Linked DNA regions of Oryzias latipes. The protein of the gene in region 1 interacts with the protein of each later gene in a biochemical or structural test. Links are inferred from orthologs where the notes say so. Each region holds a gene or a part of one and is shown in the gene's direction. Other genes may lie near its edges.

Evidence for each region.
Region 2: of the proteins of cdk2 (region 1) and poll, one has a biochemical effect on the other in vitro, tested with the Homo sapiens proteins (2 studies listed by BioGRID). The link is inferred for Oryzias latipes from reciprocal best matches to the Homo sapiens genes CDK2 and POLL.

What each region holds. Positions count from the first base shown.
Region 1 is NC_019863.2:27,093,949-27,097,699, reverse strand, and holds the start of cdk2 (cyclin-dependent kinase 2), read left to right. Parts: upstream 1-1,108; 5' UTR 1,109-1,427; coding exon 1,428-1,543; intron 1,544-2,127; coding exon 2,128-2,205; intron 2,206-2,302; coding exon 2,303-2,423; intron 2,424-2,500; coding exon 2,501-2,671; intron 2,672-2,931; coding exon 2,932-3,033; intron 3,034-3,113; coding exon 3,114-3,317; intron 3,318-3,751. UniProt on the Homo sapiens protein: Serine/threonine-protein kinase involved in the control of the cell cycle; essential for meiosis, but dispensable for mitosis. Phosphorylates CABLES1, CTNNB1, CDK2AP2, ERCC6, NBN, USP37, p53/TP53, NPM1, CDK7, RB1, BRCA2, MYC, NPAT, EZH2.
Region 2 is NC_019859.2:29,444,336-29,448,086, forward strand, and holds the start of poll (DNA polymerase lambda), read left to right. Parts: upstream 1-994; 5' UTR 995-1,013; intron 1,014-3,163; coding exon of another isoform or gene 3,164-3,230; exon of another isoform or gene 3,231-3,248; intron 3,249-3,394; exon of another isoform or gene 3,395-3,474; intron 3,475-3,751. Other genes in the region: protein DPCD, read right to left, coding at 1-96, 225-268, 486-586, 660-788, 874-954, 3,164-3,230.

The sequences.
Region 1 (3,751 bases):
TGGTTTACAAAAGTAGAAAATTAATAATATTTTCTAACATACTTTTCTTATCCTGTGGCAAAGATAGTCCATTGGAGTCTATACTTTAAGTTTACTTTTTATACACTATATATTGAAGACATAAAATGTAATAATTTATTCTGAGAAGTATTCTGTTAGTATACTTCCTGTACTGCATGTACATGGAGTATAGTAGGCGTACATTTGCTGTAATTATACTTAGGTATACTTAAGAAGTAAACTTTAGGTGTACAAGTGTACTACTTTTTTGCCAAAAAGTTGTCAGGAGTGGTTATAATCTTTTGGGATTTCAGTTTTATCTCACTAACAAAAAACAGTGTGAATGTGTTTGACAAGGAAATGCTGCACTAACAAAGAAACTAATAAAACACTTAAAAAGGTTTTGTCTCAATTGAAACTTTGAAGTCTTTTTATTTTTATTTTGACTGTTTATGCTTTTTTTAAAAAACTTTTATGTATTATTACTTTTGTTGATTCATTTATTGAATTATGTGTTTATTTTTTTTATTTTGTTTATTTTATTATTATTTATTTCATTTTATTATTATTATTATTATTATTTTTTTGTTATTCAACCTCATGGCAACTTCAATAATTTGCACTTGGTGTGAAATTCTGTATGTGCAATGTTTGTCAATAAAGTTATTAAAATTAAAAAAAAATAATCTCCGTCTTTGATTTTTGTTTTTTAACTGATGGTTAAATTGGAATATAAATGCATTTATGAAAATGTATACATTGATAAAAAAAAATGTTCCAAAAATACACATTATTTGTGGGCGTTAAACTTTTTTCCCTTCATATTTAACCGCTTTTACGTAGCTTTCTGGTTCCTTTACGCCGTAGACCATGTGACCAAAGAGTGCGGCTTGTTTATTATTCCGTTATACGCCGGAAGACGAGGAACTCATTTCTCCAATTACACCAGTTCGCAATAAAATCATTGGATTAAATACAATAAACATAGCGGTCTACCTTCACCAGTGCCATATATCAGGACTGACTTTAATTACTGCTAAATTCAAGAAAAGGGAAAATAATAAATTGCTTCTGCTCTGAACGGTACGGTGTGTCTCGAGCACAAAAACGAACGCCCGCAACACAACGCGGGAAACGCCGTTGTGTTGTTTTCCACCGCGGAGCAACCACCGGGCTAATCCTCAATTTAGGGGTTAGTGTTACTACCTGACAGATGTTCACCTGTCCGTTTTTGTGTGCCGCTCTCTGACCGGAGAGAGTTTGTCCTCGAACGGGACCCCTTGGTTTGGTTGTAGCCTGGACCGCATGACGAAACCCGGAGAAGCGGGTAATTGTAGGTCGGTCCCCGCGCTGCTTAATGCTTGTAGCCTCCGAGAAGACGTTAGCTCCGAAACAAAGAAAGAGGTCCGGTCCGATTCTGGTGGGAAATGGATACGTTTCAGAAAGTGGAAAAGATCGGAGAAGGGACGTATGGAGTGGTTTACAAAGCTAAAAACAAACTGACCGGAGAAACGGTTGCGCTGAAGAAAATCCGACTGGATACGTAAGTGAAAAGTTCTTCTTCCTGCTGGTTGAAACCTCTGAGAAGCGTTTGTTGTGATTCAGATTATCTCAAATGCTTAATTCCAGTCCCCTCATGAAACAGTTTCATTAATTACAGAAAAGACAAAACATTTTAAATTCACTCTATGTACAAAGACCTAAAAAATAAAAGTAAATAATAATACAAAGTTGAAACAAAACTGACATGTTACAAAATAAAAGCATTCAGCTCTTGTTTGGTTGGTTTCACTGTCAAATTAAACCTACTCAGTTACATTTAAAATCTATTCACCATCTGTTTTATTCATCTCTATTTGCCTTTGGGGGTAATGGAACACTAAACACAATTAGTCAATAAATTGATCAAAAGTGATGATTACAAATTCATGTGCATTTGTCCATAAAGTTTTGGAAAAGCATCATAAACACAACAAATTGCTTTAATTTAAAATGATTCTTAATCAAAATGAATTATTGTGCAATAACTAGGAAAATTGTATTCAATTTATCAATGGGACAAAGGAAGCATTTAACTTCATAAAACAATCTCCGCTGATCCTTAAATTTGTGATTTCTTTAATCCAGAGAAACAGAGGGCGTACCAAGCACAGCGATTCGAGAAATTTCACTTCTTAAAGAACTCAGTCATCCAAATATTGTCAAGTAAGTGTTTAACCATGCAGAAATATGTTTATTTTGTTCAAAAGAATCCCATTTTGTGTGATTTTATGTTTTAAACCAACTTTTTTTTTTTGTCCAGGTTGCAGGATGTGATTCACACAGAAAACAAACTCTATCTGGTTTTTGAGTTCCTCCATCAGGACCTCAAAAAATTCATGGACTCTTCCTCTGTGACTGGCATCCCGCTGGCTTTGGTGAAGGTGAGCGTCCTCTTTAAAGAGAAGATCCTGAAACTGTCCAGACCTGATTCCTTGTTCTTACTGTCTTGTGTTTCTAGAGTTATCTCTTCCAGTTGCTGCAAGGCCTGGCTTTCTGCCACTCTCACAGAGTTCTTCATCGGGACCTGAAGCCCCAAAACCTCCTCATCAACGCCCAGGGTGAGATCAAACTGGCAGACTTCGGTCTGGCGAGAGCTTTTGGAGTGCCGGTCCGCACCTACACTCATGAGGTACAGTGTGCTCCTCCCTTTCTTCATCTGTAACAAGGTACGAATCGATCTGATAACAGCTGATTTTGTTTTTCTAATGTGGTTCAGGGATTTTTAGTGCTGGATAGTGAGAAAATGTTTATTTTAAAGGATAAAATCCCAAAATATGTATTTTCTTAGCTTTGCTCTTTCAAAATCTGATTCAGACCTTTTCTTGTCTTGTATCAGGTTCACATAATAAAACATTAGAGTCGTTCTTGATTCTTTGTGGTATCTTTCAGGTGGTAACACTTTGGTACAGAGCCCCAGAAATCCTCCTCGGCTGCAAATACTACTCCACAGCTGTCGATGTCTGGAGTTTGGGGTGCATCTTCGCTGAAATGGTAACGCGCTCGACCCCAAGACCAACTTCAATAAAGAATTAGGAGCACGCTGATAATAAACTGATGGTCTGTGTTCACAGATCACCAGGAGGGCTTTGTTTCCCGGAGACTCTGAGATCGATCAGTTATTCAGGATCTTTCGCACGCTGGGCACACCTGACGAAACGGCGTGGCCCGGAGTCACATCCATGCCCGACTACAAGCCCTCCTTCCCCAAATGGGCTCGTCAGGATTTATCCAAAGTGGTTCCGCTTCTAGACGAAGATGGAAGAGAGTTGCTCGGAGTGAGATTTTCTTCTGATTGCTACATGTTTTACTCTTTTCCTGTTAAATATCTGCAAACGCGTTAATTAAGAGTAATTGTTTTTATGTGTAGAGTTTAGAAAGGATGACAAATTCTCTTATGCAAATTATAACTTTTTCTGTCTACTGAAAAAAAAAAAACAATATTTTAAACGCAGCTCAGAAATATTGACTTGAAAAAACCTTTTCAAATTTTTTGTTTGCCTTTCTAGGATGGTGCCCTTTCAGCTTTTTTTCCTACTTTCCATTTTTCTCTAATAATTTATCTTTAAAATAGTTTTTGTGGTAATGCTTGACATTTGTTTTTTAGTACAACCGCGGCTTCTCTCTGTCTCTCTTTTTTTTTAGCAGAATATTTTTAATTATATCCCAATAATTTCACAATGAAACTTTACAAAAACTCAATTTCAGGTTT
Region 2 (3,751 bases), on another chromosome or scaffold:
ATCAGCGTGTTGTTGGCGTGTGTGAAGCTGAGGGCGGCGCTCTCCAGAGGCAGACAACATCGATCAAGATCAGGAATACAGAACTTTTTAAAATACCTGCAAAGACACATGCAGGATTACAAACGCACGGTGCGCCGGCAGCAACGCGGATGGTTTGTCTACAGCGCCATCTATAGGGAGAGTCTGAACATTGCATGCAACAAGTGTGCAGCGCAGGAAGGTACTTTTTGTTTGAGGTCTTTATGACGACACATGGGAGCCGGTTTAGCTCGTGCTGGTTTGCGGCGCCTTCCGTCCGTGAAACCAGGGTTCGACTCCGGGCTGCTCCCTGTTCCCTTCTCTACCCCTGTGCCGGTTCCAAGCCCGGTTTGAGAAGGTTGCGTCAGGAAGGGCATCCGGCGTAAAACATTGCCAAGTTTACCATGCGACTTGTTCGCTGTGGCGACCCCTGATGGGAGAAGCCGAAAGAGGAAGAAGATGACGACACATCTTTCAGACGGCTCCACAAAAACACTGAAGACATCTTTCTGGTAGGCGAGGTTCCGGATTCTCCACTGAAAACAGGCTGTGGAAACCAGAGAAAACGCTGCTGAGCTCTGCAAACCCAATCATTACTAAGCTGAGGTCAGGTCAACATAAAAGCAGAAAAAAAAAAAAACCCACATTGGAGCAGCTCTCTCTGATTATGTCCGAGTCCTGAGATCCCGGGGTGTTGACCAGCGGCTCCCCAACCTCCACCTGCCAGGGGCTTTGAGCTCCCAGTGGGCTTTTATGGCGCCATTTCCGCACTGAAACACATTCAGAAGACTCATCCTGACTCTACCGCCGGCGCCAGTACCTTCATGCTGCAGAAAAGCTACATTTGATCCTCACTAATAAGTTCGTCTGTCTTCAAGTCGTATTCTTCTGCCATCTCTTTCCCATCAGAGAAGAGATAGTGGATCTTCCGCTTACCTGCAGGTAGAATCAAAAGTGTTCACGAGAAATACTAAATAAAAATCTCAAGCTGTGAGGTTATGTTATGTTTATTTATCTCTTTCAACAAAAATAATCAGAAAGTGTCGAGCAGGGACGGAGATGTCCGGGTAGAAACCCACTACAACTGCGGCCCCCCCCCCCCCGCTGTTTAACTGACCACCACGAAAAACTGATTTACATTTGATTTTTGTTTGTTTTTGAACACCGATGAAAACCATTGGGGCCTAAATATTTACATGCAGTCACAACAAAATTTTATTCATCACTTGAAGCTGAAACTTGTTTAAGCATTTGCTCTAAACCAGTGTTTTTGTGGGAGATGGTCAAGTGTGCCGTGAGAAATTGCCCTCATTAACTGATCTAAAAACATTTAACATCTCCAGGAAATCAGCTCTTTGTTCATCCAAACAGGCCCTGGTAAAACACATAGAAGTTAAAAATATGAAATATCATAAAATTATTTTTTCTTTGTGTTTATATGATTCTTTTAAAGACATTTTGATAAGAATAACGGGATACCGTTAGCTGCAGCTATAACTGTGTAAGGAAAAGTCCCGCCCCTTTAACTGTCTCCACCAATCATTCTTGAAGGCTTAATCACATGTCATCAGTATGACCAATCAGAAGTGGTTAAAGTCTTCGCTTCCTTGTTTCGATTTAGCGCAAAAAAGTCTCTCTGTTCTAAGAAAAATACCAGCTAAAGCTCGTCTTTAGCGGTGTAGCTTTCCACAGAATCTGGTATCAGACTGTGGAACAAGTGAACAAAACAATGAAGCTCAAAGACGCTGGTCTTTCTGCGGTCGGCGCATTATCGGCACTACATCTCCCATGATGCAGTATAGTGACTGTCTTAGCGCACAATGAGTCTCTCCTCTTAACGTCTTAAAACAACGAACACACATCAAACAGTTTTTGAATCTTTTGACTAAATTTTTAATACATCTTTTAGAAAAAAACAGCTGCAGCTTCCAGCTTTTTATGCAACAATTATCACAAAAATGCATGTGAGATTGCAGAGCGGCTGTAGATCAATACAGACTATGAGCTTATTTTTTTATTTTTTTTTTTTATCTATTTTTTTGGATGCTGGTGTGCCGCGGGATCTTTTTCAAGGTTAAAGTGTGCCGTGTCTCAAAAAAGGTTGAAAAACACTGCTCTAAACAATAAGTGGGGAGAGGCATTTGCCAATAAAAAAAAAAGAAACTCTTCTACTTTTAGGTTGAATTAGCAGATAAATGCAAGGTAAGAATCTTCATCATTACCACCCTAAAATAAAAATATTAGAAGGCAAAACACACACAGTGTATATAATTAAAATACATAGTTTATCTGTATAAGTGCAGTAAAAAAGGACACATGAATTTCTGATTCATGCCAGCTGTATGTAACATAAAGGAATTTTGAAGAAACGTGTTTAGTATTTGCCCTAGACCTTTGCAACAATAAAAGCCTGTGAAAACAGTGGAATGGTCTATGGCACAGACGGATATCTGATCAGAACTTGTGTGGGTTCAGAATTAAAATGCACTTTCATTGTTTGGTACAAATACTTTAGATTTGGGTCCCCATCCAATCAGCGCATCTGTTGTCCAAATACTGCCCTTTCAAACTCCTCCCATTTAATTACTAATCGTAGATTTGCTTTCGGTCTGTTAATAAAAAATGCAGTTTGGGTTTATAATCAAACTAAACAATACTAACTTGGGTCGAAAGATGTTTTTTGATGTCTCATTTAAATCGCCGTCTGAAAGAGCTTTAATGTTCTTGTGAACAAAAAGCATTATTAGCAAACAGGAGCATCTTCATGGTCAGGTTGAGTGGTATGAGGCTCAGGATTCACTGACACTTGAGCTGCTGTGACTTGTTTTTCTCATGATATTATTTTCTAGCTTGTTGTTGCTATTTTCATAGATTCGGAGTTTCTTAAGTAACGTGGAGCGTCACATAGAATATCTAAAGTACTGTTACTGTTAGTATTTTGTAAATACGAACGCATCTGCTCGAGTCTGTCTTTTCGAGATTCTGGTATTAACGTAGATGGAACTGTAGGGACAGCTAGCTTGTTGCCTAGCAACATGATTAGCTATGAAGTGAAGTCCAACTTTAGGAAAGGTAATTACGTCAGGTTAATACATTTTAAAATGTTTTTATTTATTTAAAGAGTATTGTATCTTTTTTAACTTACCACCCTGTATGAGCGCCGTTTTTCTCGATGACTTCAAAACTTCGGTCCAGCTTTGCAGCTCTGCCATTTTACACTTCCGTCTCTCAGGCGGTTACCACGGAAACAAGTGGCGCGAAAATGTTATTGTGTAGTTAATTTTGAACGATAAAACTATTTCTTAGTATTGTCTTATATGAAATATAAGATAATAATTAACATTATTAGTGAAATACAAATAAATTAAAACGCATTATTTTTGTGACCTCAACCCGGAAATGAAGCATTCATAGAAGGAACAACTTCCGCTTCAGGTCACCTGTGTTTGTAACAGGGTAAGAGCTAATATTTTATAGTACAGTTGTTTTAAGCAACAAATGTTCGGTTTTATTTCAAAATGTAGAAATATTTCAATTTGCATCAAACTGCAGATAAAACAGAAAGGGATCAAATTAAAACTGTTTTCTGTTTTCATCGTCATTCGGTGTGAATGAGCAGCTAGCCATTTACAACAAGCGGAGGAATATTGTTGGCCTTATATAGTCCTTCACCATTGTGACTGGATATTTACAAAAATATTAATTACGGTTTTAAAGGAAACACTATAATACA